Drosophila melanogaster: one gene and its partner. The protein of the gene in region 2 purifies or fractionates together with the protein of the main gene of each other region. This does not show direct contact. Each region holds a gene or a part of one and is shown on either strand. Other genes may lie near its edges.

The links.
Region 1: the proteins of pon (region 2) and par-6 purify together in Drosophila melanogaster (affinity purification with western blotting, with the first as the bait; one study listed by BioGRID). This does not show direct contact.

The regions. Positions count from the first base shown.
Region 1 is NC_004354.4:17,701,642-17,707,872, reverse strand, and holds par-6 (par-6), read right to left. Parts: upstream 4,522-6,231; 5' UTR 4,223-4,521; coding exon 4,148-4,222; intron 3,502-4,147; coding exon 3,273-3,501; intron 3,206-3,272; coding exon 2,454-3,205; 3' UTR 777-2,453; downstream 1-776. Other genes in the region: CG8173 (uncharacterized protein), read left to right, coding at 1-238; CG8188 (uncharacterized protein), read left to right, coding at 5,664-5,672, 6,097-6,231.
Region 2 is NC_004354.4:4,634,362-4,639,651, reverse strand, and holds pon (partner of numb), read right to left. Parts: upstream 3,335-5,290; 5' UTR 3,200-3,334; coding exon 2,735-3,199; intron 2,541-2,734; coding exon 993-2,540; 3' UTR 540-992; downstream 1-539. Other genes in the region: CG3081 (uncharacterized protein), read left to right, coding at 1-327; Alms1a (alstrom syndrome 1a), read left to right, coding at 3,752-5,290.

The DNA of each region.
Region 1 (6,231 bases), about 13 Mb from region 2:
AGAAGATGATGACACGAAGGAGAACGATATCTCTTACTTTACACTGAATAACCTTCATTCCGCCTATGGTACACGACCACCATTGCCAGTGGCCTTTCAACTTAGCGACGATTACAACTGCGTCGTGGAGCTGTTTTATCTGTGCACAAATGCTCTCAGCGAGGATCGTCCAGCGGCCAAGACCATTTGGCAGTGCCTGGAGAACAATGGCGCAAATGTTGCGACAGAAAGCGATTAGACTGATAATCATTCTCAGCCTCCGAACTCCACAATCTTCCTCTTGAATATAATTTGATTAGATGACTCATTTTTGTTTTGAATGTACAATTAATTAGCTATAATTTTTACCCTGTAAGAACAAACCAATTACGGTTAAAGCCCCAAAACGCGAATGCACACTTAAGCAAATTGTACATATTCAGCAAGCAAAAGAGTGGTCGAATAAATCGAATCCCCAAATGGAACAAAAACTATATCGTTAACTGGTTTTTTAATTCGCAGTCTTCAAAAGGGTATATGTAAGATCTTTTTTGATTAAGGCCCGGCTAATGTATTTAAATTGATTTTTGTAAGCTAAAAATAAGTGAAAGCAATTCAGTTGAATTGAAAAGTATTGCTTACAGAGGGAAACAATTTTTTCGTTTATAAATGCAGGAACCGAATATCATTTTTAACTTTTTTGTATACTTTAACGCCTCGAATTGGTTGTGATATAAACAATAAACTTACATTGTTTTGCTATAGCCTCCCAGGAAAAAACCAATTACACACCAGATCGGTTACAAGTTCTCTTAGGTTTATTAAAAAATAATAATACATACATCAAAATATAAGGTTTTCTTTCGTGATTTGCTTTTCGGTCTTTTCAGTTGCTTAGCGGGAATACACATTAGCTTTTGTATATATATATATATACATGCGTTTGCTTGGAAATCGGGATATTCTGGCGACTTTTGTTCGATGTAAGTTCAGATTTCTCGATAATGCAAGGGTATATGTGAAATGGGTATATGAGGGGAGTGGTTGGGCGGCGATACGCATTTAGTTATAGTTTCAGATTCGCTGCTGTCTATCCTAGATCTTGCTATCTACCCAGGGTACACGTTCGTATGGGGTTAGTTATGCCCGTTGCGACCCATAAATATTAATATTGTTAACTTCAAGTCGAGCAGATCGCATTGCATCCCATCTGCCGTGAGTGGCGTTTTCTCAATTTTACTAAAGCGAATACACAGACTTCAATTCAATTGTGTGTACAGGGGTACGTACATAACATAGATTGTATTCGTTTATATATTCTCTTGTATATATATAAAAAGTATCGAATTGCTCTCTTGAAGGCGAAGGCGCTGTTGGTGTTTCGTTTGTATCTTAACGTTTTGTTAACTTTATCTCCTCGTTTTTCTATCCTTTCTCCATAACTCTAAGTGATGACAATGACAACAAAGAACTTGGACGAGTATTGGACACAATGACGAAAAAACAAAAGTTAAAAATTACAAATGGTTTTTAAAATAAACAGATATAATGAGTAATGCCGAAAAAATAAGAAATTGAGCTAAACAAAACATAGCAGATATACGCAAAATGATCGGCTCAAATTAAAAACAAGGCTTACAAATCAGGAAATATAATTTTGTTAGGCTTTTCCGACTTGTCACAGTACATAAAATGGAATGTTTTTTTTTTTTATAAATTATTCGTGCTCGTATATGTGATTTTGTTACAATTATTGCCGTTTCAAATGGTTAAGTTAAATAAATTGATCTGCCTTCAGCATTTGATGCCCTCTCTCTATTTCACTCTCTCCTCTAGCTGTCTCACTCTAGTCTAATACAACAAGCAAGAATAATAACAAGACGTAAATCTTACAAATTTAAATACACATATATATATATGCCAGGAAAAAAGATAAAAACAAGAGACTGCATTCAAAAACGTGCAAATGAATAGGTGTGTTTTCTTTGACTTTGAGTGTTTCGTGGAATGTATGGAGGAAAGTCGTATGATGATTACACATGTATATACAATCGTGTTTTATATATTGCTCACCTACAATCGGACTGGAAATTTTGCAGAACGTTAAATTTGAATGGCCAGGATTAACAAGAAATGAATGGGATATGGCCGATATGTTGTTTACTCAATCAATCAGGCTTTCAGGCTAATACCAATAGATTTTATAAGGTGACTTTTCAAATCATGGCTGGTTGAGCTATGACAGTCGCTTTAGTAAGTGAGCGATATACAAGCGATCAGTGTACATGTGAATAAGTTGGCCTAACTTGTATAACTTTAAATAATTGACTCGAGTTTAACGAACTTATTCGATCTTAAGGAAAGTTAAGTCTGATAAACTGAAAATCCTCTGCACTTCTCAGCGATGAATTCGCGTTTTCCGTTGCTTAAGTTCTGGCTGCGTCTGCTGGAGGTGCTGTATCGCCGGGTTAATCCTACAAATGCAGCACTCCATCCTTGACATCGCTGGCCATTATCGTGGACGCATTGGAGGCTGCCTGCTGGTGGTGCGACGAGGGTGATGAGGATAATGGCGGCTGATGGTTGTGATTGCCGGCTGACGTGGACGTTGGACTCTCGTCGAGGGTGACGCCCGTTAAGTCCACAATATCGTCCTGATCGTCGTGCTCGATCTCGTCGGAGGTGTTTGTATTATTAGTGTGATGTGACCCACTGGACAGCTGGCTGTTCCTTGAAAAGGATCCGCGATGTGTGGACGTCAGTGTGCGCTGATTGGCCGGCTTCACGGTGATTATCAGATTGGAGCTGTTGGCCACCATCATGTCGGTGACTTGATCCAGAGTCTTGCCAGCCACTTCGATGCCATTTACCTCGATCACCTCATCGTTGACGGCCAGCAGGCCAGTACTTTCGGCCAGACCGCCCGGAACCAAACGGGATATAAAAATGCCCGGCTGCTTCTCTAGCCCACTGGCCGTCACCCTGACAGAGGTGCCATCCCGTATGTAGAATCCCAGGGGCTTATCGCTGCCGTGCTTCAGTAGCCGCACTCTTCTATGCGTTTCCGGCACTATATCCACATCTATAATGGCCGAGACTTGACGGAAATCGTGCGGTATGGATATCGATGGCGCCTTTGTCTTCACTGGCGTATGGCCCATCAGTATGCTGCCGATGAGGTTTCTCGGTTTCATCGTTCCAAAGCCAGAGTACTCATTAAGATCATCTATAGAGTGAACGAAAAGATTGTGGTTGAGTGGCTCGTATTGTATCTTATGCATACCCATACTCACCCTTTCGCTGCACAATGACCCGTAAAAGTGGACGTGCTGTTTTCAGGGCCCGGCCGAAGTTATCGTCGTTGTTAATCGGCAACAGATCATTGTCCCGCGGATCGATGTAGAGTATGAGAAACTGGATGTTGGTCAGCTTGTGCAGCTGCTCAATGAGGGATGCGAATTTGTCGAAGCTCTGCTCCGCCTCATTTCGCTTGAAGCTCCACCTCCGAAACTCTGCATCGAACTAAAGGATACGTATTGATTAGTAAAGGGGCTGAATCTTTTGAAACCCGTATAGTTTGTTCATCAGCATCACCTGTTGATTCAATTGTATGCAGACATTTTACTAATTTAATGGGACCTTCACTGAATTGCAGTACATCTACTGCCTTATAGCTATTACTGGAGTTTATCTTGAAGAATTGTACCTTGACTAATTAATAACTGAAGTTTCCTTCTCTGTAAAATTACAGAAAATGAACGAAACAGGGTAGTTTTTGAGTAAGGCGCAACAGATTGGTTTTCAGGCAAAGAGCCCAAGCAATAAAGGGTGTTGCAACAATCCATATCAGAGCTCAGGAATTCCGACAAGTAAGATGCATTCGCAAGGGCAAATTGTCACTTTTGGGGTGCTTCTAAGATGGAAACCAGTTGCTCCTCACACCTCGCACTCCAAGCATTAATCCCTGCTCTGGCCGCTTTGACACAATCGAGCTCAACAGATAGGAGTTCCCAAATTGGTAGACACATTGCTCCTCAGACTAAAGACCCCCTTTCCACGCACAGAACTCCAATTTAAGCTATTAATCCCATTCCTGAGCGCATGAATCAGCAGCTCAGCGCCGCAGAAAGGGGCGTGGAATCCGGGGGCCACGAAAGTTAGGACTCACCTTCGATTTCACCTCGATTAGATTCGTGTCACTGGCCGCCGTTGCGGACGTTGTGTTTATCTTGTTCTTCGACATTTTCTCCGATCCGCCCGATCAAGAGTGCACTGACAGTTTTCCTCTCCGTTCCTCACACACAACACAAAACACGGCAGTTGAGTTCCGCAGATTCTGATCTGATCTTCAGGATCGAAATCGAACCGATACGCCCGATGCGAACCGAAACCGAACCAAAGTGCAGCGTACCGATGGCGGGGAGCGACGATAGTGGGGGGCCGCCAATAAATTAGAGTTAGAAATCTAAATTAAAACTAATTAAATAAAAAAAATGGATGGATGAACCTATCGGGCACTATCGTACTTCGATATTGGTAGGCACTATCGGTTATCGGATGGTAATAGATCCAGAGTGACCGTGGGGAATGCAAAACCAAAATATACCATTTCAGTTTTCTAAAATACCACAAATATGCTATAAGCAATAGATTTAAACAACAATGAAAGTATCTAAAAAGACTTAGAAATAATAATAATTTGTTTTCAATATAGCTAGCAAAGGTTTTGAATTTATCACAACAATAAGTTTTTTTTTTTAATAACGGTATGTTCTTTGTTTGTTTTTAAATATTTCCCAGAGTAACTTAGGCATGAACCGATGTTGTGCATATATCGATATATCGATAGAGTCTGAGCAGCCATGTTGCTGCGTTAGTGTAGAGACAGTTTGTTTGTGTGGGCTGGGTGGATCTTCAGATGCGCTACATTTGCAAAGTGGCTGCTGTTTGCACGAAAAAAGAGGCTTAACTGTTACAAGACAAGAATTAGCTATATTTAAATGCTCAGTTTTAATCAAAGACGTTTTTTAAATAAATAAATAAAAACCCGCTTTTAAATCGAAGGCAGGCAAGACGCCAGCACGAATATGCCCCAATTGTAGCGCAGCGCCAGCGACGAGGGTTACTGTAAAATGAAACTGTTTTTGTGTGTTGTTGTCGAGCGTGAAGTGTCCAATTAGACAACTGAATTTGTTTAGATGTGAACGCCAGAGTCGAGATAGGTCACACAGCAGCTACGACAAAGTTGAGCGAATCGATTTCAAAACAAAAGCAACCAACGAAACAAAATTTTAAGTCGCTAGAAAAACTAAAAATCAAGATTTTCGAGAGGAGGTGCTATACCAAATACATATATATATATAGTCTTTAAACGAGTGCGTGTGAAAACATAAACCCAAACAACAGACAAGGAGACTAGCGGGGCCAAAGGAAGCATAAGGAGTCTACACGCAAAGGAATAGTTAAAGCCAGCCCACAACGCACATATTCATATATTTTGGGACCACTTTTCCAAGGCAGCTGGGAAAAGGCGGTGAAATTGCGACTATCCGAGAGCCGAAGAGCTCAGCTGCAGGAATAAGCTGACGAAACTGAAACCTTGAGACAGCGATTCGCACGCACACCAGCGCAGGCCCGCATCAACACAGACACACACACGCACAGCAGCAGGAAATTCAGACATCATGAGTTCGGTAGGATGAGCATGTTCCTCACATAATTGTTAGCATTCTAATAATAATAATACGAAACGATTCTTAAGAAGTTGTATCCGTGATTGTAAAGAATCCTATCCAACAGATGCTTCTTAATCTTATGAATGGTTTAGTAGTGAGAGCTTAAAATCGCGTCCTTACAAATACTTTCCAGCATACTAAGAGTATGAATTTCATTAATAAATACCCTGTTTGTGGAGACATGTGATTTTGTTAGTTAAGTTTGTATGTAATAATCCTTGCCTACAAGTACTGTACTGTACTTGCCATCCATTTTTAAAGTTCGTATGTTCCAATAAGTACAATTCCAACTAGAAATAATGACTCAACCCTGTCATTAAAATCAATTTTTGTATATATAAACTTTTGCCATTCCATACTAATGCCATTCCCCCATTTGCAGCAATACTCGAATGTGGAGAACCTGTCGCCGCAGACGATAAGGCAGGTGATGAGGGAGCTGCAGGAGATGGAAACCACGCCACCGGAAGGCATCAAGGTGCTAATCAATGAGAGCGATGTGACGGATATTCAGGCA
Region 2 (5,290 bases):
GGACACGGACATTGCTTGACCAGTAAGGCGGCATTTCGCGCCGGAGTGCCCAAGCATAATGCCTCCGGTGATTTCGTGGGAATAGAACCGGGCTGCGGAGGAGGTGGCGGTGGCGGTGGTAGGGTTCTGGTGGTGCCACGCCCCCGGCAGCCGTATGCCAAAAAGAATTACGACATCGAAACCCTGGTGCCGCCCTTCCAAAGCCAAGCGGGCGGAGCGGGTCAGGGCGGCTATCCAGAGCACTGGCGATTGGCCAGTGTCTATCAGCACGCCTACAAGCCCATCGACCAGCGGCGGCGACCCCTTCTCCAAACTGTCTACAAGTAGGTGTGCTCCAGGATGGCAGTCCGCTCAAGAGAGAAATGTCCGGACAAACGGGATAATGAATAATTGAAAGCTATACAAAAATGTCCATAAGCTAAGCAAGTATATTAACTTATCAACTTAAATGTTTGCTAGTCATTAGCATTAAATTGATGCATCTGTACACACAAATTAGTCGGAAAAATCGGTCCAAGAATAGGAAATCACACGTTTATGTATAAAAAAACAAATGTTATATATATTAGAAAGCATATATATATATATATATAAAGATATATGGGCAAACATACATACATACATATATGAATAAACGTGCAAACATCAAGTAACTTAAAACTATAAACAGTGTGCAAATTAATTTGCAGAGTTCGCTTGAAAAATTAAGAAAAAAAACTTGATTAAAAACTAGGTGATGATGTGGTTTTCAGATGAAATAAGGTTTCCTTTCCTTTTTTCGCTGGTCTTGTGTGACAATCTTTGGGTGCAATTAAAAACTTAACTAGGTGCTGAAAAATCGAATTGAAAAGAAGTCAATTGGGTCAATTCAACAAGGGGAAGGCGCATTTCAAAAATAATAACAAATAAATTTAAATGCTTTCGGTTACAGAAATGCCATTTGAAATCCCCTAAAAATCGACGCACCAATTGAATCTGTGGAGCCAACCTGCTCACTTGGCGGTTGCATAGGCATCGTGACTCTTGTGGAACACATGGCGCAGCACGTCCCGCGTGGACCGCCTAATGCTGTTCCGCAGTGAGTGCTTCTTCTCGTTGGTCAGCTGCTCGATGGTCATGTACTCGGTTTGGGCAACGCTCGAGCGGAGCTTCATGGTCCGTTCGCTGGTGTCGATAATGGAGACGTCGGCGAGAACGGGCTCCATTTGCTCCTCCAACTCGGCCGCCTTTTGTGGCCTCCTGCGCAGGCTGTGCCGAATGCTATTGAGTATGTTGTGCTGTCCATGGCCCTGTCCATGTCCATGTTCATCCTTGTCCTCGGACTTTACCTCGGATGGCGTGGTGTGCGACGTGGGATGCATCAGTCTTCGAATGGACTTTCTTATCATGCCTTTCATTCCGATACTGGGCTTAACTTCTGCCGATTTGGCGGACTTGCTTGATCCGATGGACTGCAGCGACTCCTTGCTGGCCGCCTTGGAGGGCAGAGCGGCGGGTCTGTAGGCGCGAACGAAGCGCGCGGGTGCCTTGAAGTCTAGATCATCGGGCTCGTCGTCGGATTCGGATTCGGAGGCATAGGCCACATCGCCGTCGGTTGGCTCCTTTTCCCGTTCCTCTTCTAGCTGCCTTTCCAGGAGCTCCTCCTCCTCCAGCTTCTCCTTCTCCAGATGCTTGGCCCTCTCCTGGAGCTTTTCCCTGAGCTGCTCGTGCAGCTTCTCCTGCAGCTTCTCTCGCTCCAAATGTTTTTCCCTCTCTAGGAGTTTCTCCTGCTTCAATTGCTTCTCCCTCGTTAAATGTCGTTCCCGCTCTGAGACCATCTCCTGCTCTAGAATCTTCTCCTGCTCGAGAATCACCTCTGCTTCGCGGTCCTGCTCGAGCAGCTTCTCCGTGTCCTCTTCCACCTCGGAAGCCTCGCTAATCTCGGTTAGTGTGCGTCGTCTGGTGCAAACCAGACGCCTCTCCACTTGAGTGTCCACCGTCACCACTTCCTGCATCATCAGCTCCTGCGTATTGGTCTCCATGACCAAGGAGACCTTGGTGTTCTTGGGCAGTTCCACCTCCAAGCTATTCCTGGGCAACTCTCTATCCACCAGCACGCCATTCTTCCGTAGCTTCGCCTCGTTGATGCTGTTCTCCAATTCCAGTTGATAGCGATCCAGCTCCTTGCCAATGTCCATAGACGACTCCTCGCTGATGGCGCCCAGCGATCGTTTGGGCGCCGGAACGGGCGAAAAGACCAGCTTCTCGGCCAGCAGCTTGCTAGGCGTTAGCTGCGTAAGGGACATGCCGTGAAAATCGATGCGACAGCCCAGCGTTGGCGTGAATGGCAAGCCGATCTTCAGGCTGGTGGGCAGCTGCTCCTCCGAATCCCTATCGGCCAGTGCCGGATTGGCCACACCCGAGGGATTGCAGGCTGCCTCGGACGCCTCGCTGGGCCGATGGATCTCGAAGGGATTGAGCGAGGCCGGCGCATCACTGCCGCGCAAATTCAGGGCAGGATTCACGAAGCCCTTGGCGGGCGTGGTTGCCGAGCGGACGACCTAAAAATATTATGGCTGAGTTATAATAATATTCTATAGCTATATATAATAAATGTATGATTTTTATGTAGTTTTTAATATATAGATTATAAAGATATTGTTTTATTTAGAAAACAAACACATATGAATGATTTCTACTGTAACTTAACTGCGACAAAAAGTACATCCATGTACGATTAGACTAGTGAACTCACCTCATATGGATTGAACTGCTTCTCGGGCAGCTCCAAATTCAGGCCAGGATTCTCGAAGCAGGCATGCTCGCGCTTCTTCTTCTTGGGCGGCTGGCGCAGGACCTCAAAAGGATTCGTGGGTAGCTTTTGTTGTTGTTGTTGCTGCTGCTGATGATGCTGCTGGTGCTGCTGCTTCTGGGCCAGATCAGCTATGGACTTGACCTCCAAGCCGGGAAACGGATTGGGTTGGCTATTCTCCTTGGCCAAACGACGACGAGCCACCATTAGCTTCTTGGGCGTGGAACTGAAGGCGGCGTTGGTGAAGCAGGATTCTGTCGACGCGACAGCTGCATCCTGTGCGTCCTTTTCTGGGGGTTGTTGCTGCGGATTCGGGGGCGGGGCAGCATTTTTATAGAGCGTCTCCCTTTTGCGTTTGCGCGGCGTCTCCGTGAAAGCCAATGCAGCTATGCTCTTCGTCTCCAGCATTATTCAGTCGATCACAAGTCGATGTGTATATCTTAAGTTTCTTTAATCAGATTCAAATTGTTTTTCTAGAGCAGCGAGGAGCAATTATAAACAACGCAGTACGACACCAAATGCCATTTTGAAAATCCACAGACAACCGGAACCGGTTGCATCGTTAGCCAACACTGCGTCCGAACCGGTTCTCAATAGGCCCTGTTAATCCCATATTACATTGCTGTTAATAAAATTTTTTACTTATTCACTTGTATCAACTAACCAAATGCTTTATTTGAATTATGTACATAATAGTATATATATTATATATGCTTTTTTCATTGATTTTAACATTTCAGTATGTACTTTAGGAAAATGTAATGTAATGTAATTTTAACCAAAATAATCGATATCGATAACAAAGGCATCTAACCAACTATCGCCACCGATAGGCGATAACTTTCGATATCAGGTGGCTCAATTTGTTTTCGAATGATTTTAGCGTCACATCAAACTAGTTTCTAACGCTGCTTCCATGTGGCGAACTGACATATTGAAGGGGAATAAACTTTTTCGACCATGAGAGCGAAGAGAGGAGCAGTCGGAAAGGTGATGATGTCCGGTTCTCGCCATAACAAATTGGCGGAATCATCCCGCGTTCCTCCACTAGCTAGGGAATATATCAGCGCAATGGCCACGGACCGGGAATTAGATCGATTCATGGCCCTTTCGTCGACGGCAAGCAGTGGAGCCAGTGGCAGCACCCACAGTTGTGCCCTGGGATCAGTCCCGCCGCCAGGATGTGCCTCCATGGAACATGAATCGCGACCAGAATCAGGCCACAGGCGTCGCACGAAGAGCAGCGATCATCGTTCACCTGACGAACGGGGGGAAGCAAAGGAACAGCTCCGGGAACTGTCAGTTTCACCACCACCCAGTAAGCACAAAATCAGTCAGTTCACATCACCGAAATCGGAAGTAACTAAGACGAAACCGAATGAATACACTATAATTCCTATTGTATTGGCCAGTAGCCCCAGTTTTCGTTCCGTAGCAGTCACCCAAACCATGTCCCAATCCGCGGAGGACATACGCACACCTACCAAGTCGCCCCAGATGCAAAACAAAAAAACGCAGACACCAGAGTCTGTCCTTAAGTCACACAAACGCCTGGAGTGGGATCCTTCTGCCGATGTGGGCTACTGCAAGAGGGCAATGTCCATGAGTAACATCAGCACGCTGGAGCGATCCGTTTTGGAGGATTGCAGCTGGCGTCAGCCAACACAGCAGCGACCCGAGGCGAATTTGGATGGAGTGCAGCCCCTTTTGGCCGAGGAACCGTCACCAATGTTGGATAAGCCAACGCCGCCACTGGCTTGCAGCACGTTTGTCAATCGCAGCGAACGCACGAAGTCTCTAAACTCTGGAATGGAAAGTTCATTGAGCTCCAATAAAGGAGATCCTAGAAAGAAGTGCCAACGTAAATCCAGGAGACAGGATTCCGAAGTTAGCTCTTGTCAGACGGACTGTCGCAGCAGCTCGCAAAAGGAGTCAACCCAAGGCAGTTCTGAAGCAAAAGATATTCGTGGAAATTTTACAACAGAAGGTACCCAATGCAGTTACAATAGAAATGATACCGAAATTGACTCCATAATGGAAGAAGAAGAATCAATTGACAGGCGTAAGAAAGACGATTTAAGGATTAGTTCGCGAGTACAAGATCCACAGATAAGTTCTCGCAGGCCATCGGTGAGTAGCTCGCGGAGGGAATCGCTGAGCAGTTACAGAAGAGACGACTCCAGGCTCAACTCGCCAAATAGCTCCAGATTGGGATCAGAAGTCAGCTCAAGGGTGGAGAGCTCGCGTTCCAGTTCAAGGCGGGAATCACAAACCAACTCGGTGTACGGCAGTTTGTCGGCCAGTAGCTTTGATTATCACATGCATATGGCGCAGGAAGTCGAGGTGCTCAAACACAATCAAAGGAGACAACAAGAGATGGAGGTTGAGCCAAAGAAGCAACTGGAAAAAGAGCAGCACCAAAATGATATGCAACAAGGGGAACCAAAGGGAAGAGAACTAAAGGACAAGAATCATCATTCGGGAAGGGAGCAGCAAGAA